Linked DNA regions of Ovis aries. The protein of the gene in region 3 interacts with the protein of the main gene of each other region in a biochemical or structural test. Links are inferred from orthologs where the notes say so. Each region holds a gene or a part of one and is shown on either strand. Other genes may lie near its edges.

The links.
Region 1: the proteins of PATJ (region 3) and TJP3 form a complex in vitro, tested with the Homo sapiens proteins (2 studies listed by BioGRID and IntAct, with this or other methods). The link is inferred for Ovis aries from reciprocal best matches to the Homo sapiens genes PATJ and TJP3.
Region 2: the proteins of PATJ (region 3) and CLDN1 form a complex in vitro, tested with the Homo sapiens proteins (2 studies listed by BioGRID and IntAct, with this or other methods). The link is inferred for Ovis aries from reciprocal best matches to the Homo sapiens genes PATJ and CLDN1.

What each region holds. Positions count from the first base shown.
Region 1 is NC_056058.1:18,036,400-18,040,583, reverse strand, and holds the start of TJP3 (tight junction protein ZO-3), read left to right. Parts: upstream 1-1,234; 5' UTR 1,235-1,487; coding exon 1,488-1,652; exon of another isoform or gene 1,653-1,686; intron 1,687-4,184. UniProt on the Homo sapiens protein: TJP1, TJP2, and TJP3 are closely related scaffolding proteins that link tight junction (TJ) transmembrane proteins such as claudins, junctional adhesion molecules, and occludin to the actin cytoskeleton.
Region 2 is NC_056054.1:197,862,297-197,865,307, forward strand, and holds part of CLDN1 (claudin-1), read left to right. Parts: intron 1-135; coding exon 136-300; intron 301-3,011.
Region 3 is NC_056054.1:36,994,598-36,998,251, forward strand, and holds part of PATJ (inaD-like protein), read left to right. Parts: intron 1-212; 5' UTR 213-247; coding exon 248-269; intron 270-364; coding exon 365-531; intron 532-2,514; coding exon 2,515-2,709; intron 2,710-3,654.

The DNA.
Region 1 (4,184 bases), on a different chromosome or scaffold from region 3:
CCCCTCTTCCCCTAATCTGGAGCTTCTTTCTGCCCAGTCTTGACTGGATGAGGCTGGAAAGGGGTGTCTATGCCCAGGTTTGCCCCTTCAACCTTGACCTGGGTGGGGCAAGGAAACAGTTAGGCCTCAGGGTCTATTTTTTTTAAGCAAGAAGGAATGTGAGGGTAGAGCCAATGGTGGCTCCACCCACCCAGGTGACTTTCTCCCTTCCACACCCCCAGGTAGAGGGCTTCCTGCTCTGGTCCGATTATTCCTAGACAGGTCCCTTGAGGGTGAGTCAGGGGGTGGAGAAAGAAGCATGACCTTTACTCCAAGAATCTTAAAGAATTTCCTTGTCCCCGCTGTGTGCCCTTCCTAGCTGGGGACCCAACCCAGGGCTAGGTGGGAAAACAGGCTGATAATACTGGATTCTGGCCAGGCCCAGAGGTGACTGCTGTGCACCTTCTGGATCCTCCACTGTAGGGGACATCAAAAGGGAAGTCTCATATCAGCCTACACCTTCAGAAAGTCCACACCCCGCACCCCACCCCAGGTTTCTCTGGGCCTCAGTTTCCTCTCTAAAATAAACTCCCCAAAATGAAAAAATCAAATAAAATCGGGTTAACTTGCTGAAGATGAGGTGACTGAGAAAGATCAGCCCTACTCTTGGGAGGTGTCTGACCCTTGGCTAGCTCCTAATCATAACACGTCTCTCTACAGAATCTCAACACGCATAGGTTTTCCAGGATGAAACCCCTTCCAAAGCGCAGGCTCCGTTCCAAACGCGGCCTTAATCCCTGCCTGGTCTTTCTTGCAGCCTCCCCTGGCGGGTCTCCAACCCGGCCGCCGGCTAGTGCGCAGCTGGGCGGAAAACGCGGCCTGGAATTCCCACCCCAGGGCCTGGATCCTGTGTTGGGAGGGGTGGCGCGGTGGGAGCGAAGGCAGCCAGGGCGGCGTCCCGGAGGCGTGTCGGGACAGAGGCGGGGCCGGGAGGGGACTCAGGAGGAAGAGGTGCAGGTGCAGCCCTGGCGGCGGAGCGGGCGGGAGGAGGGCAAGTGCTGGACACCTGCTTCGCCGCGACCCTCCCCAGCCTCCTCTCGCACCCCAGGGTGGGGTCCAGTTTTGACTGTTTCTAGGCCCCCCGCCCTTGGCCAGAGGCGCTGGACAGCCCCCAGGGGGGACTATGGCGGTGAGATTCCAGGCGAGTAGCCCGCGGAGGGCTGGAGGGGGGAGGGGACCGAGGTGGGGTCGGGGCTGGTTCCGGGACCGGGACTCCAGATCACCCCCGTCCTAGGTAACAGATGGGGAAACTGAGGCCCAGGAGAATGTGGAAGCTAGCACGGGCGGAGCGTCTGCACCCACTGGCCTCCACCGCTGCCTCCGGGGGCTCCCTCTGCCCCGGGTCTGCCTCCCTTAACAGATAGCGTTCGTGTGTGTACTAGGTCACTTCTGTTGTGTATGACTGTTAGCAACCCAGGGGACTGTAGCCCGCCAGGCTTCTCCGTCCCATGCTCTTCTCCAGGGGATCTTTCCGACCCAGGGATGGAACCCGCGTCTCTTATGTCTCCTGTATAGGCAGTCGGGATGTTTACCACCAGCTCCACCTGGGAAGCCCCTTAGCAGGCCGACCTGCGTTCAAATCCCGACTTTTCTGTGTAACTTTGAGCCAGCCAGTGAGTCCACGCCTTTGAGAACCTCGTCTGTAAAGTGGGTGATGGTCACTTTATAGAAGGGCGTGGGGAGGATCCTAGGAGGGGGGGAAAATGCTCCTGGTACATAGTAGGGGTGCAGTTTCCCAGGGGGATGGGCCGAGTTGAGCTTGAGCACTAAGGGTGGGACGGTAGGCAGGGACTTTGTGGGCTGGAACGTCTTTGGCTAAGGCAGTGAGGCTGTGAAAGAGGGGATCACCATTTATTGAGTGTCTGCTGTATACAGAGTCGTTAACTTGGGGGATCTGGCTTGAGAGCCCAGTTTTGCTGCATCGGGCAGGCCGATCGGGGCTGGGGCCGGGAATCCCCGTGGCTCTGTGGCGAGGGGGATGTGCTTCGTTCTCTAGTGTTGGAGCTTGAACCGGCTTTCTCACACCCACCCTTCTGCGTCTCAGGTCGGGCCCCAGAGGGGTAAACAGGTGAACAGGCTTGGGAGATCTGTGGCTGGCCCCAGGCCAGACCACCCGAGGCTGTAGGGCCGGGAAGTTCTTTCTCCTTCCAGGCAGCAAGAAGCAGCTCCCAGAATCCCGTCCTCAACTCGAGTATTTGTGGTCCCCTCCCCTCCCCCACTCCGACCCCCGCTGTGGTTCCCAGAGGTGGGGGCGGGGAGGGGGAGAGTGATCAGCAGCCTGGCAACCACGTGCCCGGGCCGGTGTGACTCGGTAAGCCCAGTCCCCTCTGGAGGCCTCTAGTATCCGGTGTTTCTGTCCCGCGCGTGGCAAAGGGCGGGGATGTAGGCCCGGGCCCCGCCCCCTCGGAGCTCACCTGGAGGGGGGCGGGGCTGAGGAGGCTAGGAACTCTGGACAGACATGCAGGTGCTGGTTGTTCAATTGCTAAGTCGTGTCTTACTCTTTGCGACCCTATGGACTGCAGCACATCAGGCTCCTCTGTCCTCCACTGTCTCCCAGAGAACCTAGAGTTCCTGGCAAAATCAGCCTTTTATTCTACCATTAGTGCATTCCTCAAACTACCCCCCGCACGCTGTCCTGTGGGGACCATGATGGGGTCCCAGGGCCCCCAACCCTGCCTACCAGGAATCACCAGACTCACGGGTGTAGGGGAGACAGGTGGACTGGGACCTCCCAGGCCTCAATAATCAGAGGCAAGAAATGTGTGTGTCTTGCTGGGGTGTTGAGGACTTATTTCCTGAAGGAAGACACAGTGCCCCTGGGGCTGTGAAGGATGAAAAGGAGTTTGCCAGGGAGTACAGGATGTGCAAAAGCCTGGAAGGGAGGCTGATTGGAGGACCAATCAGCAAAGTACCCGGAGAGACAGCCCCGGCTAGCCTTCACACCCAAGAGGAAAGATCAGAAAATCACAAATTGATGATTAAACAGGGTAATTGAAGATGGTTTTGGATGCCATGAGTAAAACCTAATAAATAAAGCAGAAGAATGGTAGGATGCCAGCCAGAGAAGACTGGCTAGTCTGGGAGGTCTTCCTGGGGAGGTGGCATTTGAGCTGAGACCCAAGTGTCAGGGGACAGCTGTATGCATGTTGGGAGGGTGTCCAGGCACAGGGGTCAGCCAGGGAAAGGTTGGGGGTGAACTAAGCTGAGGTGGGCTGTGACCCTATGGGTGTCAGAGAGCCTGCCAGTATCCATGGAGGTGAACCTGCACAAGCCAGAGCAAGCCACAGCCACCTGTGCCTGCCCCCTCAGGGGCTGTGATTCCCTGGGGGCTGATTCTTAAAATAGAGCCAGGAACTCAAAATGCAAGGGAATCATTTAATGACACCAAACATAAAATCAGAGCAAGTGATTTTGTTCCAAAAGATTTTGTTCCAAAAAATAAGTTTAGAAGGAAAAAAAAAAAAAACAAAAAACAGAAGGATGCTGGGACCAGGTAGTTGAGAGCAAAGGCATGGGACAGACTGCCAAGGTTCACGTAGTGCTGTGTGACCTCTAGTAAGTTACTGAACCTCTCTGGGCCTCCTTTTCCTCCCCTGTGAGGCAGGAAGGCAGGAACAGAAGCAGTGCCGCTTCCTGAGGTCCTCAGGAGTAAAGGAATGGGTACTGCATAGTGCTCGCTGGCAGCTCATGAGATAGTGTTGCTTATTAATGTTACACAGAGGAGAAAGGTCATTATTATTACTTCTCACTACAACCACTGCCGTCCCTCCAGAGGCTCCTACTGCTATTTGTGGGAGACTCCAGGCCCCCTTCTCACACCTCAGCACTGAAAGATGGGGCAGCGGGGGTGAGGGAGGTACCCATTGTACAGATGGGGAAGATGAGGCTGGAGAAGTACCACCACAGCCTGTCAAGTGCACACTGGAGGATTTGAATCTTGGTGGTGCAAAGCAGACCTGGCTCCCAGGAGGGCTCATGAGGCCCCGCCCTTGGCTTTGCTCCCCTCTTCTCCTCAGCTTCCTACCTCCCTGGAGCCTGGAATGCTGCTCTCCCAGGAACCTCTAAGAAAAGGCAGGGAAACACCACACACTGCACAGGGAATCCCCCCACACCTGCTATCCTATGTGAGGAGGAGGCATCATTTC
Region 2 (3,011 bases), about 160 Mb from region 3:
ACTAGAACTGGGGTCTCCTGACTCCTGGTTATGTTTCCTGTCTTCCATACAGCATTGAAATGACTTGGTCTTCTACCACTCTTCTCTCATTGGTCTAGACATAATTGTTACATGTTCTAAAATGTGTTTTGTCAGGCACTCTGCAAGCAACCCGTGCCTTGATGGTGATCGGCATCCTGCTGGGACTAATAGCCATCTTTGTGGCCACCCTTGGCATGAAGTGTATGAAGTGCATGGAAGACGACGAGGCACAGAAGATGCGGATGGCTGTCTTTGGGGGCGTGATCTTTCTTATTTCAGGTAAGAGAGGCCCTGTCCCTCTTAGACCTTATTAAACGCTTTCTGACATTTTTTAAGGTCTAGTTTTTTTGCTTCCTTAGATCATGTTGGTTTTATTGCTCTTAAATCAATTGAATTCAGTTCCTTTAAAATATGAAGCATAGAAACTTTAAACCCAATTGACTTTCACTTTTTCAAATGGGAACTGAATAAAAATCTGAGATCTATGTTCACAGTTGACAGGTCTATTCCCTGAGGTTTCAGGTGCCAACTGATTCATTAGAAACAGTCTCCTCAAGTGAAGGGAGATATTTTTTCTATCTGGCAAATACTAAGGACCAATTCTGTGTAATTCAGAAAATTTCTGTGGTGTCTCTACTGATACTACGTGGGAAAGATGGGAAATGGTAAGAGAGAACATGAGGAAGGTGTAATCATACAGTTATAAATGAATGGAATGAGTAGGGCTGGGATTATTGAAGGAAGAGGAGGACATTATTCCATGTAAGCAGTACTGATTCTAGAATGAACAGGCTTTACCGATAGATCAATGAAGAGAAAGGTCATTTGGAGTTCAGGTGGAATATTGGAATGGTAGGAAATGAGAAGAAATGAGTTAAAAAGAGAAAATAATACAGAAAAGTCTTGGAATAAAAACCTTGACAAAAGAGTGAGATTACATTTTCCATAGACAATAAATATGTATTTATTGCTTTATTCAAATCTTATGTGACCTTTGAGAAAATGAGAGTCAGAAGAGGACAAGGACAGTTCATTTGTAAAGTCTTATAATAAAGTTAATATTAAATAACATCTCACATACAAGGTTGTCATTACCATCTTTCTAAATTCCATATATATGCGTTAGTATACTGTATTGGTGTTTCTGGATGCCTGGGGCTGGTGCACTGAGACGACCCAGAGGGATGGTATGGGGAGGGAGGAAGGAGGGGGTTTGAGGAGGGAGGGGGGTTGAGGATGGGGAACACGTGTATACCTGTGGTGGATTCGTGTTGATGTATGGCAAAACCAATACAATATTATAAAGTAATTAACCTCCAATTAAAATAAATGAATTAAAAAATAAATAAGATAATATGTGCATTAAAAATGTGTATGTATATAAAATAATAGACTATTATATGTCATATATTGTAGGTGTCTATTGTTTTGAAATAGACTATTACATATGCTTTCCTGATGGCTCGATGATAAAGAATCTGCTTGCCAATGCAGGAGATATGGACGTGATCCCTGGGATGGGAAGATTGCCTGGAGAAGGAAATGGAAACCCACTCCAATATTCTTGCCTGGGAAATCCCATGGACAGGGGAGCTTGGCAAGCTACAGTCCATGGGGTCACAAAGAGTCAGACATGACTTAGAGACTAAACAACAACAATAAGACTATTACATAAACTATATATGGTAGTCTATTGTTTTTGGAAATGACATTAGTAGTATAATCTACCACTAGGAAAAACTAGAATTAGATTTTTTCCTCATTTTCTCTTTAAGAAAAGTATGTGGATTTCATGAACAATGAAGGAAGAATGCTTGTGGCTTTACTAAACATTTGGTTACAGATTATTCAAATTACTACTGCAGAGCATTTTATTCCCAACACTTAGGTTTTACACCAAAGGCTAGGGATACACTTACTGAGTAGAACCTGTCCTCCGCTGATCTTCTAGTAACTCCCGTCCATCACTCCTGCAGTCTCACGGACTTCTAGGAGTGAGGGTTGCAAGTTCCAGAGTATTCATATTTTCTACTCGAGCAGCCAAAAGCCACAGTGTTTTCTTTCAAGTATTAGAAGCAGTTAGGTTGGACCACTTTTTTTGTAGGAGGAAGAGGGCAATGGGTGTAGCATAGAAATATTAATCTGTCTAAATTGATGAATTTTTAGACTGACTGTGTGCTAAGTCACTTCAGTCATGTCTGACTCTTTGAAACCCTATATACTATAACTTGCCAGGCTCCTCTGTCCATGGGATTCTCCAGGAAAGAATACTGGAGTGGGTTGCCATGCCCTCTTCCAGGGGTTCTTCCTGACCCAGGGATCAAAACCTGTGTCTCTTACATCTCCTACATTGGCAGGCATTTTCCTTAACACTAGTGCCACCTAAGCCCAGACTATAAAAAAGAAATTATTTAAGTTCTTTGGATAAGAAAAATTGAGGTACTATATACTTATTTTAATAAATGATAGAGTAGATTATTTTGACTAAGTGGTTTCTGTGGGGCTGCCCAGGTGTCTCAATGGTAGAGAATCCACCTGCTAATATAGGACATGCAGGTTCAATTACTGGGTCTGGAAGATCTCCTAGAGGAGGAAATGGCAACCCACTCCAGTATTCTTGCCTGGAAAATCCCATGGATAGAGGAACCTGCAGGCTACAATCCAGTCAAAGACTGAGCATGCACACGTGCACTGAAATGCGAGAGGCATGAGAAACTGGGAGTGCGCTGCGTACAATGATCTGATGTGGCGCCTCAGAGAATCTCATGGCCAGACCTGGAACATCTGGCCAATAGGGTGTAGGGATGTAGGTGATTGGGGTACCCTGAGCCAGGTCCAATGTGTTCCTGCTATCTGGCTATTTACATTCATTTTGATCCTTCAGAAATGTGAATTTTGCCTTTTGGCCAAGAAGAATGTGGAAGAGTTTTCATCTTCCCTTTTTTAAGTGACGAGCTTTACTAATAAGGACTTTGGTTTTATCAAAAGTA
Region 3 (3,654 bases):
ACTTCACGTTTTTGTCACCACTTACAATGATCTGTTTTGCTTTCAAGTTTTAGCCATTTTAGTGGCTGTGTATGGCTTTTAATTTGGATTTCTTGAATGAAATATTTTGATGGAGAATGTTCTTGAGGTTTTCTTTGACTTTTCTATAGGACTGTAGAATTGTATACACTGATGGAAAATAATTTTTCTCGTATTTAAATTGTTTTCTTTAGGTTTCTTTAAAAGTGATTGAAGACAGTAATTCAAAATGCCTGAAAATCCTGCTACAGGTAAACTAGATATATACTTCTTTCACTAAATTAATTATTTAAAAATGGAATGTAAGATGAGATTTAACTTGTACTCATTATCCTTTTTAAAAAAGATAAACTGCAGGTCCTGCAAGTTCTTGATCGCTTGAAAATGAAATTGCAGGAGAAGGGTGACACTTCACAGAATGAAAAGCTCTCTCTTTTCTATGAGACACTAAAGAGCCCCCTTTTCAACCAGATACTCACACTTCAACAGTCCATCAAGCAACTGAAGGGGCAAGTAAGTTACCCATCAAGGTTTTACCTGTTGCTATTATTCAAACCAGCAAAGAAAGATAGAAGGAAATAGATACAAACAGTCTACTGTTAATTCTGCAAAGAGGCTGTATTGGGACTTGTGTGCAGGTAGTATTGGCATAGATAGTTTAAAAATGTTGATAATAAGTTTTGTGTTTGGCTTTGGATTCTAGTTTTTATACTTATTTATGTAAAGTTCAGATGCTTTGAAAATTCTCAACATTTTCTTCAGAATTACAGGACACATAGCCCCTCTGCTTGGAGTGATATTAAGAGTTTTACCTACTCTTTTGGTTGTTCTATTTTGGGGTCAGGGATGGCAAATTGATTTTAAATAATCTATTCTAGATGCTGAGCTTGAATAGTAGCTATCTTATAGATTAAATATGGGCAGAATTTTAAATGTAGTTAATGTAGCAGAGTTGTTATGTGAAAATTAACAAAATTTGCAGAAAAAAATGCTTTTTGCTGATAAACCAAAATGCCTATCCATAAATATTTAGCAAGTGATTTTTCTATAACTAACTAAGGATTAAATTCTGCACATATGTCTTTCTGTGAATTACTTCTTCTAGATCAAAATTTATACCAGAATTTTAGCACTCCCCATATTGAAGCTTCTATATTCTGATAATGGAATGAGTACATCACAGCAGTGAATGCTATTGGTGGCAATAGAAGTTGGGAAAGATCCCTACAAATCTATCACTCATACTGGACTAAAATTGGACTTAAGCAACTGTTCCATCATAATAACAATCTTTTATGTTTATTTAGTGTGCAGTTATTATGTAAATAATCATATTTTATTCAGTCAGCTATAAAATCCATGTGATTTTTCATATCTGTGTTTTCATAGAGTTTTTATGGGTGTTGATTTTTTTCTGTGAGTCTTATGACATTTGTTCTTGATATTTCCTTTGTTCTATTGTGTTGGTACCTGTATCAGCCAGCGGTATGTTTAAATCAATCAGTTAATTAATTTGGTCGCACCATGAGGCATGACAGATTTTAGTTCCCTGACCAGGGATTGAACCCATGCTCCCTATATTGGGAGTGCAGAGTCTTAATCTTAACCACTGGACCAACAGGGAAGTCCCTCAGCCAATGATATTTTAAAAATTAACCTCTGTTTTTCTTTTTCCTTAATTTCCCACCTTTTTTTCCCCCCACGAGTGTTTAAGTGGCTTTGCAATACATTTGCTACTAATGGGCAGGTTGTTTAATCCCTGTGTGCTTCAGTTTCCATGTTGACAAAATGAAATAAGAGTATCTCTAGGGCTATTGTAAAGATTAAGTGAGATACTATATAGGAGTTTGGGTATAGTACTTTACTTATAGCAAGCACTTAATAAATGCTGAGTTACCTTTGAATATACTACCTGCAGATCTTTTGTGTTTCCGCACGTGGGAATGTATGAAAGTGAAAGTTAGTCGCACAGTTGCCTCCAACTCTTTGCGATCCCATAGACTGTAGCCTGCCCTGCTCCTCTGTCCATGGAATTCTCGAGGCAAGAGTACGGGAGTAGGTTGCCATTTCCTTCTCCAGGGGATCTTCCTGACCCAGGGATCAAACCTGGGTCTCCTGCATTGCAGGCAGATTCCTTACCAACTGAGCCACAGAAATGTATAGATAAATGCAGTAGGGCTCAGGGCCTTACATGCATGTTTATGTGACTGGACATGTCTGTGTATGTAAAGTATGATGAGCTATATTACATGCTATATTAACGTGAGGTAACGGTAGAAGGCGGGAAATGAGAATAAGTTAAACATTTTGTATAATACTAAATAAAACATTTATAGCCTTATAAACACAGATTCATGTATCTGTATCATTTCTTTCACATGTCTATATTTAGCATGCCATTATACATGTGAGAGATAAAATATAATATTTAATAAATAGAAATACTTCTTATCTGTAGGTTTCTGTTGATAATTCTCTCTTTTTTTCCTCCAACAGCTCAGCCATATACCCTCAGATTGTTCAGCCAACTTTGATTTTTCTAGGAAAGGGTTATTGGTGTTCACGGATGGTGCCATTACTAATGGGAATGCCCACAGGTCCTCTAATAACTTGACTGTATCTGGGTTATTTTCTTGGACTCCAAAGTCAGGAAATGAAGATTTTAACTCAGTCATACAACAGATGGCCCAGGTAAAGTTATATCTTGTCAAGGGACTATTTAGTTTTATTTCTATTGTTGGAGGTTAAAAAAGAAACCTACACTCACACTTTTTGTCTCTAAAATGTGTTACTCTGTGTTTTGGTTGCTTGTGTTTTTACATTGTTAGGAGGAGTTGATACTATTTTCTAATCTGTGAGTTGGAAATTTGTTTAAGATTACATAAGAAAAATATCCATGTGCCTGGTGAGGATAGTTTTTAAGACAATGACTCCAGTCTGACACATCTGTACACTTGTAAGGAAAGAGATTCTCATAGTTTTGATCATAGAAGGAAAAATAATGTGTCTGCCGAAGTAATATAATTCCTTTGAAATTATTTTAAATTTTATATCAAACAGAATTAATGGGAGTTAGAACTAATATAATTTGGAAAATCTAGTATATATAATTTGGAAATTTAGTATATATAATTTATGTATATATATAAAATCCAAATGTAATTTGGAAAATTATGATTTGGAAAGTCTAGGAAAACATTTGGAAGTGTAATCCCATTTCATCCTTAGTATCTATTAAAATCAAATGATAGTTGAATTTTTAGATGTGCTAGATTCCTTTATTCACCTTGCCTTCTAACAAGTGCCCTAAAAAATAGAACTTGAGTTTGAAAGTTAAAAAGAATCTATTTAAGGTGTGATAGTTAAATAATGTTCTACACCTAATTCCTTTTTTGATTTAATTGCTCTATCCCCTTAATTTGACTAATAATTATTTTTATGTGATGCTTTTATTAGTTGATTACATTTATGAAGTTCTCATGTAATAAATACAATTAATTATTCACCAAAGCAATAAAATACTTGTTTGTCACAGGTAGCCCCATTTGAATGGTGGCCTTTCTGTAATCTTTTGAATTAACCTAATAAAATATTAATTTATCACAATAGAATTAAAAACAGAACCCCCAAAAATGC